Linked DNA regions of Diceros bicornis minor. The protein of the gene in region 2 purifies or fractionates together with the protein of the main gene of each other region. This does not show direct contact. Links are inferred from orthologs where the notes say so. Each region holds a gene or a part of one and is shown on either strand. Other genes may lie near its edges.

Region 1 (7,312 bases), on a different chromosome or scaffold from region 2:
GGGCCGGAGTGAGAGACCCCAGGCCCTAGAAGCGGGGTCACTGCTGGGCAAGGAATTTCAGGGTTTCCGCCACCCGGAGTGTGGTCTTGAAGGGGAGAGCCATGAACTCTGTATAGGCTTGTTCCTTTGGCCCTGTGTGGAGGGCACAACCGCAGGAGGGCTGGAGTGGGGCCTTCTGAGGGATAGGACCCAACACAGAGGCCCCTTTCCCAGGTCCACGGGTGGCTCTGCCCCGGGGCTGAGAGCCGGCCTGTGCTCAAGATGCCTCTTCCTTTTCTTATTGCCTTTGATTCCAGCCTGCCACGTGGGAAGCGACAACTCCCGGTTGTCGCTCTCCTTTCCCGCTGCTGTAACTAACGCCAGGGGAGAGGGAGCTGCTGTGTGATGAAGAGGGACCATTGTCAGCCTGAAGTTTAGCAACCCGTCTCTTCACCCCAGTCTCCCTTGATAGAGATGACCATCCCTGAGGCCACCCTAGAGGAAGAGGAGGGATGAAGGGTGTGTGTGTGTGTGTGTGTGTGTGTGTGTGTGTGTGTATTTGTCTGTTGGGGAGAAAGCGTTGATGCGTCTGGTGTTTGCGTATCTGAATCTGTGCCCATGAGTGTATATCCCTGAGGTGTGAGCACGGAAGGTTGTGTGTGTTTGTGTGTGTGGCTTGTGCAGATCTAAATCTCCTCAGCCTCTGTCTGGGGAAGGGACCCCACAGAGAAAGGGCCAAGTTTGAACAGACAACAGAAACTCTTACCTCCTTATATGGCCCAGAGGCCTCCTGGCGGGGAGGGGAAGTGAGATGAGCCTGGAGGGCACTGGGCTGTTGTTCACCTTCCCTCAGGAAAGCGCCTGCCCATCCCCCACCAGCTCCCCTCCCTCCCAACAGCCCCTCCTTGGACCCCTCTTTGCTAGTAGCTTCTGTCTCTGGGACAGCTTGGGATGGGCCACTGGGTGCTCTTTCCTTCTTTACTTGAGGCCCCAGAAATCTGCAATGTTGAATTAACCATATGTGATCTTGACGGCCCAAGGACGCTGCTTCCACTGAGCTCTGGGCAAGAGAAATGAGTTTAAATTGCAGCAATACAAATTGAGGCTAGACATCAGAAGGAACTTACCAGTGTTAGGATAAGGAGACAAGGACATTCATATATGGGAGGCTGGAGACTCTCCTTTCCTGGAGATTTGTCAAACAGAGAAATCCCTGCCTTCAAAGGCTTGGAGGCAGGGGACTGGGTAAGATGGTCTTGTGGCCTTTCCTTCAAGCTCTAGTCATAGAGGAGACTGCTGCACAGCGACTCTCATCCCCATCCCTAGGCACCTCCTTGCCCTGTGAGACCAAATCCCCTACACAGACAGCTGATTCTGGTCAACATCATTTTCTGTATCCTACAGATGAATCCTCAGTGCCTGGCAGGCACGTAGTAGGTGCTTCATAAATGTGCAGAAAACCCCTTGATCTGGGCGGAGAGACACAGCTGTCATCCCAATCTTTCCTACTGCTGCCGCGGTGCCTCCACCCAGTCCCAGCCTGAGCGCTTAGTTTGGGGCAAGCATGTTGCAGCATGTTCCAGGCTGACAAGCAGGGAACATTCTGGGGAGACACACACACACACACACACACACACACACACACACACACACATGCACATAGGCTTTATTCTGAAGCCTTATTTCTGCCCCTCCACCCGATCCAGGTTCCTCCACCCCTCTGCAGCCAACCAGCCCTGCCCTGCCCGTATGCGGAAGTCAGGAGAAAGGAAGGAGTTGAGCCAGGCTTGAGTCTGGGAAGTGTGTGTGTGTGTGTGTGTGTGTGTGTGTGTGTGTGTGTGTGTAGGCAGGGGAGGGTGTGGGAAGGTGGGAAGTGGGCAAGGGAAGGTGGGAAGTGGAAGAGGGAGGAAGTGAAACCCTGGCGACGGCAGCAGCCTAGGATTTCGAGCTCCTTTCCCCCCAAGCTGGGGGCTGGCCACTGCACAGTGTGGCAGGGTGCTGAGCAGGTGGGTGGGGCAGGGGTAAGGTATGGAGAAAGATACTGAGTAAGCTGGAGGAGGGGGAGGAAGGGAAATGAAGCACAGGGCAGTGGCACGTGGGATGGTACCTGGTTAGGGATGTTGATGTCTCCCTGCCCCCTCCAGGAAGACCTCTTGGATGGCACAAGCCTCAGAAGTGCGACTGTTTGGCCATCATTGCAACTGTTTAGCCATCATTGCTTTCTCTGGTGGGGAAAGCGGTCAAGGATGCTGCAGGGCTTCCTTCACCCAGCCCACCTGTGTGCGAGCTTTGGGGCTATAATGCTTCTTTGAGGGAGGACCCTTTCCCGAACAACCCCTCTCCCTACACACACACACACAGAGCGGCTGAGGTGACCTGTTTACACTTAGCCCTCTGGAGCCCTTTGAGGGTTGGGATCATTTTGATTTTCCATGTTACCAGTGCCTAACCCAGTGCCTTGCATACAGTTGGTGCTCTATTGATGAATGAATGTCTGTAGGACCCCTGGCACACTGTACTGCCACCAGCAGGCACTCATTTCATCAGCCACAGAAAGAGAAGACTCTTATCTTCTTAAGCTGCCTATTGGGAAGTTCTTTCTTTCTTTCTTTCTTTCTTTTTTTGTGAGGAAGATCAGCCCTGAGCTAACATCCATGCCAATCTTCCTCTTTTTTTTGCTGAGGAAGATCGGCCCTGAGCTAACATTTATTGCCAATCCTCCTCCTTTTTTTTTTTTTTTCCTTTTCTCCCCAAAGCCCCAGTAGATAGTTGTATGTTATAGTTGCACATCCTGCCAGTTGCTGTATGTGGGACGTGGCCTCAGCATGGCCGGAGAAGCAGTGTGTCGGTGCGCACCTGGGATCCGAACCCGGGCCGCCAGTAGTGGAGCACGCGCACTTAACCGCTAAGCCACGGGGCCGGCCCCGGACGTTCTTTCTGATAACTAACCCAGACTCTTCCACTACTGAGGGGCCTGCTGCCCCATTTCTTTTAGGCAGTGTTGATTTCCTTGCTGCCTGATTTCTTCCAAACCCACCAATACTTTCTCAGTCTTTGTCCCTTTCACAGGGATTTCTCTGTTTGACAAATCTCCAGGAAAGGAGAGTCTCCAGCCTCCCATATATGAATGTCCTTGTCTCCTTATCCTAACACTGGTAAGTTCCTTCTGATGTCTAGCCTCAATTTGTCCCTTTGTCCCAAATCACTACTCTTCTGTCTCTCCCCGGAATTTGTTTTTGCCTTTTCCCCGGCCCCTCCCCACTGCTTTGACATTTTATGTCGGTGCTATATTCCACCAGGAGAACATGTAGTTTGGTGAGCCTTGAAATGAGAAGAAAGGGGTTCTAGTTTAGGATGTGCCACTTTCTAGTTTTGTGACCTCTCTGAACCTCAGTTTCCTCATCTTTGAAATGACAATCATTTTGTTGTCCTAACAATTTTTCAGAACTGTCACGAGAATTAAAAAAAAAGTCATTAATTTAAATTGTAACATTTAGCAATTGTCCAAGTGATTTCACAAACTTTACTTCATTTCATCCCCACATACTCCCTTGAGAGAGAGATATAGCCAATGTACCCATTTTACAGAGGAGGAGAAACAGGGTGAGATGAAGTAACTTGCCTAAGATCATATAGCTCCTAAGTGGCAGAACCCAAACTCAGGCCTTCTGATTCTAAATCTCAGGAGCATTCCATCTTTCAGGAAAAAATTCCCAAACCAGCTAATAGCCTATGAAGTGCTATACAAACATCTTATTACCACTTTGTGGCAAGGGTGAATAAGCCCAAAGAAGCATTATTCCTGACGCTGAGCTGGCTGGCTGGTGAAAGCGTCTGTCCTTTCCCATGGCGCCTCCTGACTCACCTGTTGGACAGGTAGGGGGAAGGGGAGAGTAATGAGTCTTACCTGCTCAGAGCTAGGGTGGGGCAAGACACACCCCATCCCTCCCATTGGTTCTTTCCTTAGTCTTACTGACGACACCTTGCCCAATCAGGAGGAAGTAACCTCCTATCTGCCAATAGGTGCGGAGTTAGGATGGAACCTCAAGTTGGAGGCCGTCCCCAGAGCCGACTGGCAGTCTCTGGTGCCAATGGCCAGAGGATAAACAGAGGTGGCGATGGAAGAGAACTGGGCGCGAGGCTCCGCCCCTCGATGGGACAGTCAAGCGAGGCAGCCAGTGAGCCCGCATCAGCGGGTGGGCGTCTCCCTCAGGGGCGGAGCTTCGAGGGGGCGAGAGGCGTGGCTTGGCTGTCAGGTCCCTTCGCCTTTTGTTCGGTTACTGAGTTGCTGCCTTGGCCAGAGTCCGGAGCAGCCGCCGCCCGAGCGCGCCGACCTCAGTTCGCCGCCCGCGCCGGCTCCCATCCCGGCCCGACCCCTGCCCAGCCCGGCCAGGCTCCACACGCAGGTGCGGACGATCGGGGCAGGTAGCGCTGGGGCGAGAGAAGGGCGGCGAGCGGCCGAGAGAGGCCAACCCCCGCCGTCTCAGGGCAGGTGAGGGCGGGTGTCAGGGAGCGCCTCCCTGCACCGGCGGCAGGGGGCGCGCTGGGGTCCTGGGCGCGGCGGCTAAAGGGGCGCGAGGTTCGGGCCGGGTGCGCTGAGGGGCTGCGTGAGCCGGAGATCTGGGAAGGGTGGAGAGGGATCAGGGCAGGTGTCTCCGGGGTCGCGCCTCCGCCGGGGCCGCGGAGCCCGCCCGACGCCGCGTCCCTGACTCTCACCCTGACTCTTGCGGGGGAGACTTTGACCTGCTCCGCCTGCGTCCCAGGGCTCACTCTGTAGTCAGGAATTTACTGTTTGAAAACTTGCTGCCGCTGGTCTCTTTGGGGCCACCCTCACCCCACCTCACGCGTCATCCTCGCTTTCCCTCCCTCCCTACTCCCCCAGGCCTGGGTGGGGCCCTATTGTCTGCGCCCGGCTTGCCCAACTGTGGGGCCGAACGCACATTTTCCAAGCGACGCGGGCCCCACCTGCCGAGCAGGTGAGCACACGGAGTCCAGAGGCTCTGCCCTCCAACTCCCGGAGCTTCGTCGGTTCTGTACCTGTGGCGCCTCCCTCCGCTCTGGTGGGTGCCGGGCTGTGGCTCCGCCAGGGGTGCTGGGATGGGATGAGAGTGGGACTGGTGCAGGGCCCGGCTCCGCGCCCAGCTGGGGTCTGGCACCAGTGGCTCGGACAGGGGTCTGGGCAGAGGGGTCGTGCATGGGTAGAGAATTCACTGGCCCAGTTTCCAGTAGATGCCGCTTCCAGAGTGTTGATATGGGAACCGGACCATTCTTCTTCTCTATCCTCTTATTGTCGGAAAAAGCACCCAAAACAAACTTTCCAGGAGGAAGTATTCACAGCAGCTTTCTCTGGGGGTTTTCCTGCCTCCTTACCCAGGGCGTCCCCCCAGGCTTACGGGGTCCATCTTGAGCAAAGCCCCCTCCCCCAGCCGGCCAGGCTGAACCAGGGCCAGTGCCTGCGCTGTGACCCTGCCTCCCCGCCCCCACTTCCATCCTGTTTGCTGGGCCCCTGGGGCCTGAGGTGGGGGCCGGGGTGGGGGGGGTGGGCCGAAAGGGGAAGCAGCTTCTTCCTTCTCTTCCTGCCTCCGGGGACCACCACACCCCCTCGCTTGAGGCCTGCGCAAGTGGCTTTCTCCCCAGCTCTGCCCCCCTCCCCAGGAATGGGGGTGGGGCAGGGCCGGGCCAAACAGACGGGGGTGGGGGGAGCGATTGTTCTTTTTTTTTTTCTCTACCCCATCCCCCACATTGTTTTGCTGGCTGGCAATTGAGGCCTAAGAGCAAAGAGCAATGTTGCTTGATTTCCATTTGCCTTCTGGATTTTGAAGGTGCATTCCTTCTGGAGGCTTTGCAGTCCATTCCCCACCCACCCCCTTTCCTGAGAGTTTGATTGGGAAAGTTGGGACAGGAGGAAGGATTCTGGGGGGAAGGTTTCAGGCAGAGCTGCATTAGCCACCCCCACCCCCCCCATTTCTTGAGAGCCCCTTCCCTGGCCAGAGTTGGGGATCTCCACCAGGCTTTCACACAGGTTTTAAGAAATCTGAAGTGTGGTCTTTTTGCAGAGATTTGGAGCCCAGCCTCCTTGAGGAACAGAGGGGGAATGTAGGAGCCAGGTTCTCCCTGAGTCCTGGGGTGAAGGGAAGACTTGGGGGGAAATTGGGGCTGCTTGCCCTGACTCACTTGGGAAGACCCTGTGGCCTCTTTGGTGGTTGGAGATGGGAGAGTGGGGGCAAAGGTCAGCCCCACTCCTATGATGTGCCCCTGGGCAGGGATCAGGCCCTACTCTGGGTTAGGGGGAGACTGAGGAGAGAACCCCCTCCCTCTTCTGCTCTAGTGGGTGGGGTACCTCTGGGGAGCCACAAGGGTATGGAGTTTGGGCAAAAATAACCTGTTTTCCCTCCTCTGTGCCAAAGTGGAGGAGGGGAAGGCATTGTAATTACATTGGTTAAATGATTAGTTTAGCTAATCTGGTTTGTGGCTGTGATGAAAAGACAATATTGAGGAAGCATTGCTAGGAGGTGCCTGGTGAAAGCTGGCTGCTTACTGGACAGGAGGGAGAAGGGAAAAAAAGGCAGGATCCAATTAGTCATTCCTTGCTAGATCAAGCCCCAGCTTGGGTGACTTGAGCCCTCTCCACCCCCTCCACCCTGCCCCACCCCTGCACCCCAGCTCCACCCCATTCCCTCTGGACCTTCTGCTTGGGCTGCTGGGGCTAAGGCTTTGAGAAGGCAGTGTGTGGGAATGGAGGAGATCAGGCTAGGGCTGGCAGCCATGGGACAGGTAGATGTGGGGGTGGGAGGGTGGTGGTGGTAAGGGGGCATCTCTCCCTGACCTGGGAGGGGTTGGGCAGAGGAGCCACCTTAGAATGAGATGGGGCAATTGACTCGCCTACTGAAGGGCTGTTTTTGTGGAGAGATGTTACAGTGGGGCAGTTCTGAACACTGCGATTTCGGCTTAGACTGAGCTGGGTTTGAATCCCAGCTCTGTCAGTCATTACCTGTGTGGCCTTGGTCAAGTCACTTCACCTCTCCAAGCCTCAGTGACCTCCTTGGCAGAATGGGAATAATAATACCTACCTACTCAGTAGATACTTGACACATGGTCACTTAAAAGGTGAGGGAGGACTTTACAGATACCAAGTACTTTCATTGACTGTTCTCACTTAATCCTTGTGGCTATCCCTAGAGGCGGGTGTCCTAACCCCATTCTACAGGTGAGGAAATTGAAGTTAAGTAACTTGCCCAAGGTTGCACAGCAAGACCCAAGCAGAGCCAAGACTGGTGTTTGGGTCCTCTGGCTCCAAACCTAGAGCTCATCCTGCTGTATCATCCCCACTGGG
Region 2 (7,273 bases):
TGATGGGGGCTGTGAGGCAGTCAGTGGGGGCAATAGAATGAACCCTACAGGCCTACCTGTTTGAACCTGCTCAGCTGCATAGGAGCTGTGTGGCCTTAGGCCCATCCCTTGCCCTCTGTGGGCCCCAGCTTCCTCATCAACCGTAGCTGCCTTCCTAGTCAGGAGGATTAAATGAGGTCAAGGGGGTGAAGCTGGCACACAGTAGGTGCTCAGTAAGTGTGCGGGTCTGTTGACCCACATCCACTCACCCTCGTCAGCCTGGTGGCTGTGGGCTCGACTGGCCGACTCACACCTGGCCTCATTTCCTGGTTCTGCCCTGGCCCCACCTCCTGCTCCCCTCTGTGCCTCTCCAGAAGGAAATCTCATTCACTGCCTGCCTGGCCTGGCCCCATGGGCCCTGCTTCCTCCTCCTCCTCGTATCTGCGCCCGCCAGGATCTGACTGTTACGCTGTGGCCCAAGACAAACAATCTGGAGGTCCCTGAATGAGGTCCATTCCCTGCCCTAGAGAGATGAGAAGACTGAGGCTCAGAGAGCAGAGGGGCTCCCCAAGACCTCCCAGCTTCCTCTGGGGCTCCTGCTCTTCTTCCAGGAAGCCTTCTATGATTTCTCCACCCAACATCAGCTTAGACCTGGGTTAGGATGGGCTTTTCAGTAGCTCTCCAGCTAGAAGCCAAGCTCCCGAGGGCAGGACTTGTCTCCTGGAACATTCCTTCCCCAGGGTCATTGGGCCTCCTGGCTTGTCCTGATACCTGCTTCTGTGGCTTGAACTGTCAGCCAACTGTGGCTGAACGGCCAGGTTCAATCTTCCTCCACTTATCCCCTCTCTGAGCTTCGCTATGGAGCGTGGCGGGGGCCGTGAGGTCAGAGGCGCTGGCCTCACTCATATCCTGCTTCCACCTTGTGCTAACTGTAACCTTGGACTGGCTGCTCAGCCTCTCTCGGCCTCTGTGGTCCCATCTGTGAAATGGAAATTCTTTTAGTAGCTTCAAGGCTGCCATGGGAGTGCAGAGAGGTGACGGATGTAGCAGGGATGGGTCCACATGGGCAAGTGGCCCAAGGTTTTTCCCTAGCTGGTGGCCAGTGTCTACCTTGTGTCCCAGAGGCAGCAGCAGAGCTGTGAGTCATCCAACTTCGGGAGAAAATAAGCCTAGCCCCCTCTGACTTCCTGCCCCCACGTCCGGCTCTTGTTCAGCAGCACAATTGCTCAGGTCAAGCCTGCATGGTGGGCAGCTTAACCTCTTCAAGGCCGGGGGATGCCACCCCTCTGCCCTCACCATAGTAAGCCGGAATTGGCAGGGCTGCCTGGGCCCCTTGGAGGTCACCTGCTGCCCTCCAGGCTGGGGCCCAAAGATGGCTGGACTCAGGCCAGACGGGGGACAGTCCCACTGCCCCCCATCGCCTGAAGATGAACCAGCGCTCCTGGGCCTGGCACTCAGGGCCTCCAGCATCACTAGCCCTCCTGGCGCTCCTGGCTCTAAAAAACCCTCTGGCCACAGCCTTCCCAAAACCTCCGAGCTGCCCAGGGTTCCTGCCTCCCCTAGAATGCCCTTCTTTCCTGTCAGGATCCTATCTGCCCACCACCCATGGCAGAAACGTCCATCGAGGGGTGTGGAGAACAAGCACAGTGCTTGGTGCAGAGTAGCTACCCAAAGTGCTGGCCAGAGGAAGAGCTGAGTCGATAGCCCCTCACTTGCACCCCCTCCGCCTCACCTGCTGGGGACTCACCGACCTCAGGGGTCAAAACCTTTATGACACTCATAGCCACGGTCAGCTCTGGGGTGGCAGGTAAATTCAGCCATGATTTCTCGAAGACTCCCCTGCTATGAGCCATTCCCGGTGCCAGGTGTGTACACTGCCTCCTTCAGGTGACTCATGAAAAGACCGTTTCCTCCATTTCCCAGATGAGAAGGCTGAGGCATGGAGAAGCTGCGTGATGCTGGAAGGAGCCTGGGCTCTGGGGTACAAGCTCCCCACTCCAGCTCTTCCTTACCTTCTCTGAAGCTCAGCCGCCTCCACTAGAGGCGGAGAAAGGATCTGTCCCACTCACTGGGTTGTTGGTAGGATAACATAATGAGCCCCTTTGGTTAAGAGCCTCCTATGCGCATCAGCTCCAGTTCCCACAGTAAATTGCAGAGACTCGCTATGTCCATTGTTCAGACAAGCAAACTGAGGTTCGGAGACACTGGAGAGTTTTCCCCAAGTCACACAGGAAGCGAGTGGTGGGGCTGGGCTCTGCGCCAGGACCACGGTCTCCAGGCTGGGCTCTCACCCTACACCGCCTGCCTTCAAGTCTTTTGGGGGAGACTTCCCTAAAATATGAGGGCTGCGGGGTCCCTTGGGCCCAGCCTTCGGTTATCTGGGTGTTGGGGGGAAGGGTGGGCCGCTTTCCCGACCACGGCTCCACAGCTGGTAGCCGTCCTGTGTGTCTGGGGCAGGGCGGGAAGGGGAGTCCGTAGGCCGGACCTCAGGTGCCCAGAGCTGAGCCTCAGCTTGCCTGTTCTGAAAGTGGGGGCACTGGCTAACGGAGGGGGGCTGAGCTCCTCTCCCAATCCCAGAGCCTTGGGGGAGGGGATGATGCCAGGCCTTGGCTAATCCTTTCCCACGGGGAAGGGGCACCGAGGGGGAGCCTAGGCCTGGGTGCCAGTCCTCCGCCCCAGTGTGCTGGGCGACTCGGGTAGAATCCTGCCCTCTCTGAGCCTGGCACCGATGGAAGCCAGTGGGCCCTCGAGTCACACCGAGTTGGAGAGTCTACATGTGGGAGAGCCGAGTCCTCACCCCCTCCCTCAGCCCTGAGAACACCTGTTCGTGGCCGGTGCCTCCACGGGGTGCACCAGCCCTGCTCTGAACCAGGAGGAGGCCGAGTCTGGCCCGAGGAGTGGATCTTCCTGAGACCCCGACCACCACCATTCTAAGATGGGGAAGCCGAGGACCTTCCGGTCCCGGGCACATGGCGATGGGTCTGGGTGGAGCGCGGTGCAGGGAGCCCTCACTCACCGTGCCCGTGGGCTGAGAGGTGTCTCCGTTCGTCTGCCTGCCTGCCTGGGGCCGAGTGTGCTCCGGAGCTCTCTGGGGCTCTGCCGACAGCTCTCGAGGGGAGCCACGCCTGGCCTGCAAGGGAGGCCTGGCCGCCGCCCCTTCAGGTTTTCCAGCTGGCCCTGGCCCACTTCCCCCGGGATGGTTTCCTGTTATTGTTCCTTTGTGAGGGCCGGGCTGGCTGCAGATAGGCAGGCCCCACAGTGGGCGGCTGCCTCGGCCCAGCCAGGCTGACCTCACAGAGGCCTAGCCCTGGACCCGGCCCGGGCCTCAGCTCTGGCGTCCTGAGCCCAGCACCTGCCTAGGGCCTTAGTTCACCCTCCCTGTAACCCCGAGGGCAGGGGTCATCACCCCCATTTTATAATAAAGCTCAGGACACTGAGACTCAGCAAGTTGAAGATGCTCGTCCACCCAGCTGGGGCGTAGCAGAGCCAAAAATCCAGCCTGGGTCAGCCTAGGCCCAGAGCCAGATTTTCCCAGGTGACCCCATGACATGCTGGGGTGGGGCCGACTTTGCAGGGGATGGGGAGGCTTCAGGGCGTCGGGGGTGGAGTGGGTGGGAGGTGGGACACAGACCACAGCTCTTGGCTCTGTGAGTTGGATCGACCTCTTCCCAGTGAGGGGGCGTGGGTTCCAGCTCTAAGGCACCAGACTGGGCTTTGGGGGGTCGTTTGGGTTTAGAAAAATCAGGTGGAGTCAAGCGCCCTGGCTCTGCTTCTGATGTGACTATGAGCCAGTCATGTCCACCCTGAGCCTCAGTTTCCTCATCTGTAAAATGTGGAAAGTCGTAGCCTGAACCTCACATGGCTATTGTGGTAAACGGGAGTCGAAGAGGGACATGAAAGATAGTGAAGCTGAAGGCCGGATCAGAGCCCGTCAGAACCAAGATGCTGCGGGGGAGGGGCTCAAATTCTGTGAGTCACGAGAGTCCTGAGGAGCTTTTATGAACTGCGGATCCCGGGGCCCCACCCCAGGCCGAGGGATGTGGAGTCTCCCAGGGCAGGCAGTGGGAGTCTGTCCTTTGACTAGTTGCCCCTCTGTTTCCGTGGATGAATGAATGGCTGGGAAGTCCCGAACCTGTTCCGTTGTACAGCTGGGCAGAGACCTGAGAGGGAGAGGCCTTGCCCAGGGGCCCTCAGTAAGTCAGTGGACACTAGTGTGGAGAGGGGGAATGGGATGGAAGAATATTTTTGGGGAGGGGGAGATAAAGATTTCTCTGTTTGGGGCACGTTGATGTTGAGATGGCCCTTACACAACCCAGTGGCGATGTCAGGTTGGCAGCTGGAGACGGGTGGCTACAGTTGAAGACAGGGGTGGCTACAGTTGGAGATGGGGTGGATACAGTTGGAGACTGGTGGAGACAGGGGTGGATACAGTTGGATACAGGGGTGGAGACAGGGGTGGGGACAGGTGGAGACAGGGGTGGGGACAGGTGGAGACAGGGGTGGGGACAGGTGGAGACGGGTGGAGACGGGGTGGGGACAGGTGGAGACAGGGGTGGAGACGGGTGGGGACAGGTGGAGACGGGTGGAGACGGGTGGGTACAGGTGGAGACAGGGGTGGAGACGGGTGGAGACGGGTGGAGACGGGGTGGGGACAGGTGGAGACAGGGGTGGGGACAGGTGGAGACGGGTGGAGACGGGGTGGGGACAGGTGGAGACAGGGGTGGAGACGGGTGGGGACAGGTGGAGACGGGTGGAGACGGGTGGGTACAGGTGGAGACAGGGGTGGAGACGGGTGGAGAGGGGTGGTTACAGGTGGAGACGGGTGGAGACGGGTGGGTACAGGTGGAGACAGGGGTGGAGACGGGTGGTTACAGGTGGAGACGGGTGGAGACGGGTGGGTACAGGTGGAGACGGGTGGAGACGGGTGGGTACAGGTGGAGACAGGGGTGGAGACGGGTGGGTACAGGTGGAGACGGGTGGAGAGGGGTGGTTACAGGTGGAGACGGGTGGAGACGGGTGGGTACAGGTGGAGACAGGGGTGGAGACGGGTGGGTACAGGTGGAGACGGGTGGAGACGGGTGGGTACAGGTGGAGACGGGTGGAGACGGGTGGGTACAGGTGGAGACAGGGGTGGAGACGGGTGGGTACAGGTGGAGACGGGTGGAGAGGGGTGGTTACAGGTGGAGACGGGTGGAGACGGGTGGGTACAGGTGGAGACAGGGGTGGAGACGGGTGGGTACAGGTGGAGACGGGTGGAGACGGGTGGGTACAGGTGGAGACGGGTGGAGACGGGTGGGTACAGGTGGAGACAGGGGTGGAGACGGGTGGGTACAGGTGGAGACGGGTGGAGAGGGGTGGTTACAGGTGGAGACGGGTGGGTACAGGTGGAGACAGGGGTGGAGACGGGTGGAGACGGGTGGGTACAGGTGGAGACGGGTGGAGAGGGGTGGTTACAGGTGGAGACGGGTGGGTACAGGTGGAGACAGGGGTGGAGACGGGTGGAGACGGGTGGGTACAGGTGGAGACAGGGGTGGAGAGGGGTGGTTACAGGTGGAGACGGGTGGAGACGGGTGGAGACAGGTGGAGACAGGGGTGGAGACGGGTGGGTACAGGTGGAGACAGGGGTGGAGACGGGTGGAGAGGGGTGGTTACAGGTGGAGACGGGTGGAGACGGGTGGGTACAGGTGGAGACAGGGGTGGAGACGGGTGGGTACAGGTGGAGACGGGTGGAGACGGGTGGGTACAGGTGGAGACAGGGTGGAGACAGGAGTGGGGACAGGTGGAGACAGGGGTGGAGACGGGTGGAGACGGGTGGGTACAGGTGGAGACGGGTGGAGAGGGGTGGTTACAGGTGGAGACGGGTGGAGACGGGTGGGTACAGGTGGAGACAGGGGTGGAGACGGGTGGGTACAGGTGGAGACGGGTGGAGACGGGTGGGTACAGGTGGAGACGGGTGGAGACGGGTGGGTACAGGTGGAGACAGGGGTGGAGACGGGTGGGTACAGGTGGAGACGGGTGGAGAGGGGTGGTTACAGGTGGAGACGGGTGGGTACAGGTGGAGACAGGGGTGGAGACGGGTGGAGACGGGTGGGTACAGGTGGAGACGGGTGGAGAGGGGTGGTTACAGGTGGAGACGGGTGGGTACAGGTGGAGACAGGGGTGGAGACGGGTGGAGACGGGTGGGTACAGGTGGAGACAGGGGTGGAGAGGGGTGGTTACAGGTGGAGACGGGTGGAGACGGGTGGAGACAGGTGGAGACAGGGGTGGAGACGGGTGGGTACAGGTGGAGACAGGGGTGGAGACGGGTGGAGAGGGGTGGTTACAGGTGGAGACGGGTGGAGACGGGTGGGTACAGGTGGAGACAGGGGTGGAGACGGGTGGGTACAGGTGGAGACGGGTGGAGACGGGTGGGTACAGGTGGAGACGGGTGGAGAGGGGTGGTTACAGGTGGAGACGGGTGGGTACAGGTGGAGACAGGGGTGGAGACGGGTGGAGACGGGTGGGTACAGGTGGAGACAGGGGTGGAGACGGGGTGGAGACGGGTGGGGACAGGTGGAGACAGGGTGGAGACAGGGGTGGGTACAGGTGGAGACAGGGGTGGAGACAGGTGGGGACAGGTGGAGATGGGGTGGAGACAGGGTTGGGGACAGGTGGAGACGGGTGGCCTGGAGATGAGGTTGGGGGGGGTTGGGGGGGACACTTAGGGCTGGCCCCTGAGGCCATGGGGCCAGCACAGTGGGGTGTCAGCTGGGTCATCCTGGGAAAAGCGAGGGCTGAGACTCGACTGCTGGGTTTGGAGGACGGAGGTCATGGATGACTGTGAGCAGTGCAGGTTAGATGGAGAGGAGCGGACAGGGTGGATTAGAGGGCCCGGGCTAGAGCAGGAGGCATGGGCGAGTAGAGGCACACGCGATCACAGCTCCTTCCCCAAGACTTGCAGTGGTGGGAGCAGAGACATGGGAGGCTTTTTGTTGTCTTTTTGAGGCTGTGGTGGCGTGTTTGTGTGCTGAGGGGGCATCCAGCAGCCAGGAAGCCAGATGATGCTGGAGCAAGGGGAGCGACCTGCTGGAAGGATAACCGTCCCGAGGCGGCCTCTGAGCGGGATCCAGCACATTCGATCACCGTTTGTGGAATGAACAAACAAAGGCTCAGACTTTCCTTCTCCAACAGGATTAACTCTGCCTTCTCCTGCCAGAGGGTGGGAAGGGCCCTTGAGGAGCCAGGACAGGCCCATGCTCTGTCCCTGGTGCCCCAGCCTGATCCCCCTCACCCCTGCCCTGCGTGAGTCTACGTG

Evidence for each region. Proteins that work in one complex are often made in the same cells at the same time.
Region 1: the proteins of CDH5 (region 2) and JUP purify together in Homo sapiens (affinity purification with western blotting; 3 studies listed by BioGRID and IntAct, with this or other methods). This does not show direct contact. The link is inferred for Diceros bicornis minor from reciprocal best matches to the Homo sapiens genes CDH5 and JUP.

Annotation. Positions count from the first base shown.
Region 1 is NC_080757.1:41,065,594-41,072,905, reverse strand, and holds the start of JUP (junction plakoglobin), read left to right. Parts: upstream 1-4,278; 5' UTR 4,279-4,385; intron 4,386-4,392; exon of another isoform or gene 4,393-4,471; intron 4,472-7,312. UniProt on the Homo sapiens protein: Common junctional plaque protein. The membrane-associated plaques are architectural elements in an important strategic position to influence the arrangement and function of both the cytoskeleton and the cells within the tissue.
Region 2 is NC_080771.1:18,403,202-18,410,474, reverse strand, and holds the start of CDH5 (cadherin-5), read right to left. Parts: upstream 3,048-7,273; 5' UTR 2,996-3,047; intron 1-2,995. UniProt on the Homo sapiens protein: Cadherins are calcium-dependent cell adhesion proteins. They preferentially interact with themselves in a homophilic manner in connecting cells; cadherins may thus contribute to the sorting of heterogeneous cell types.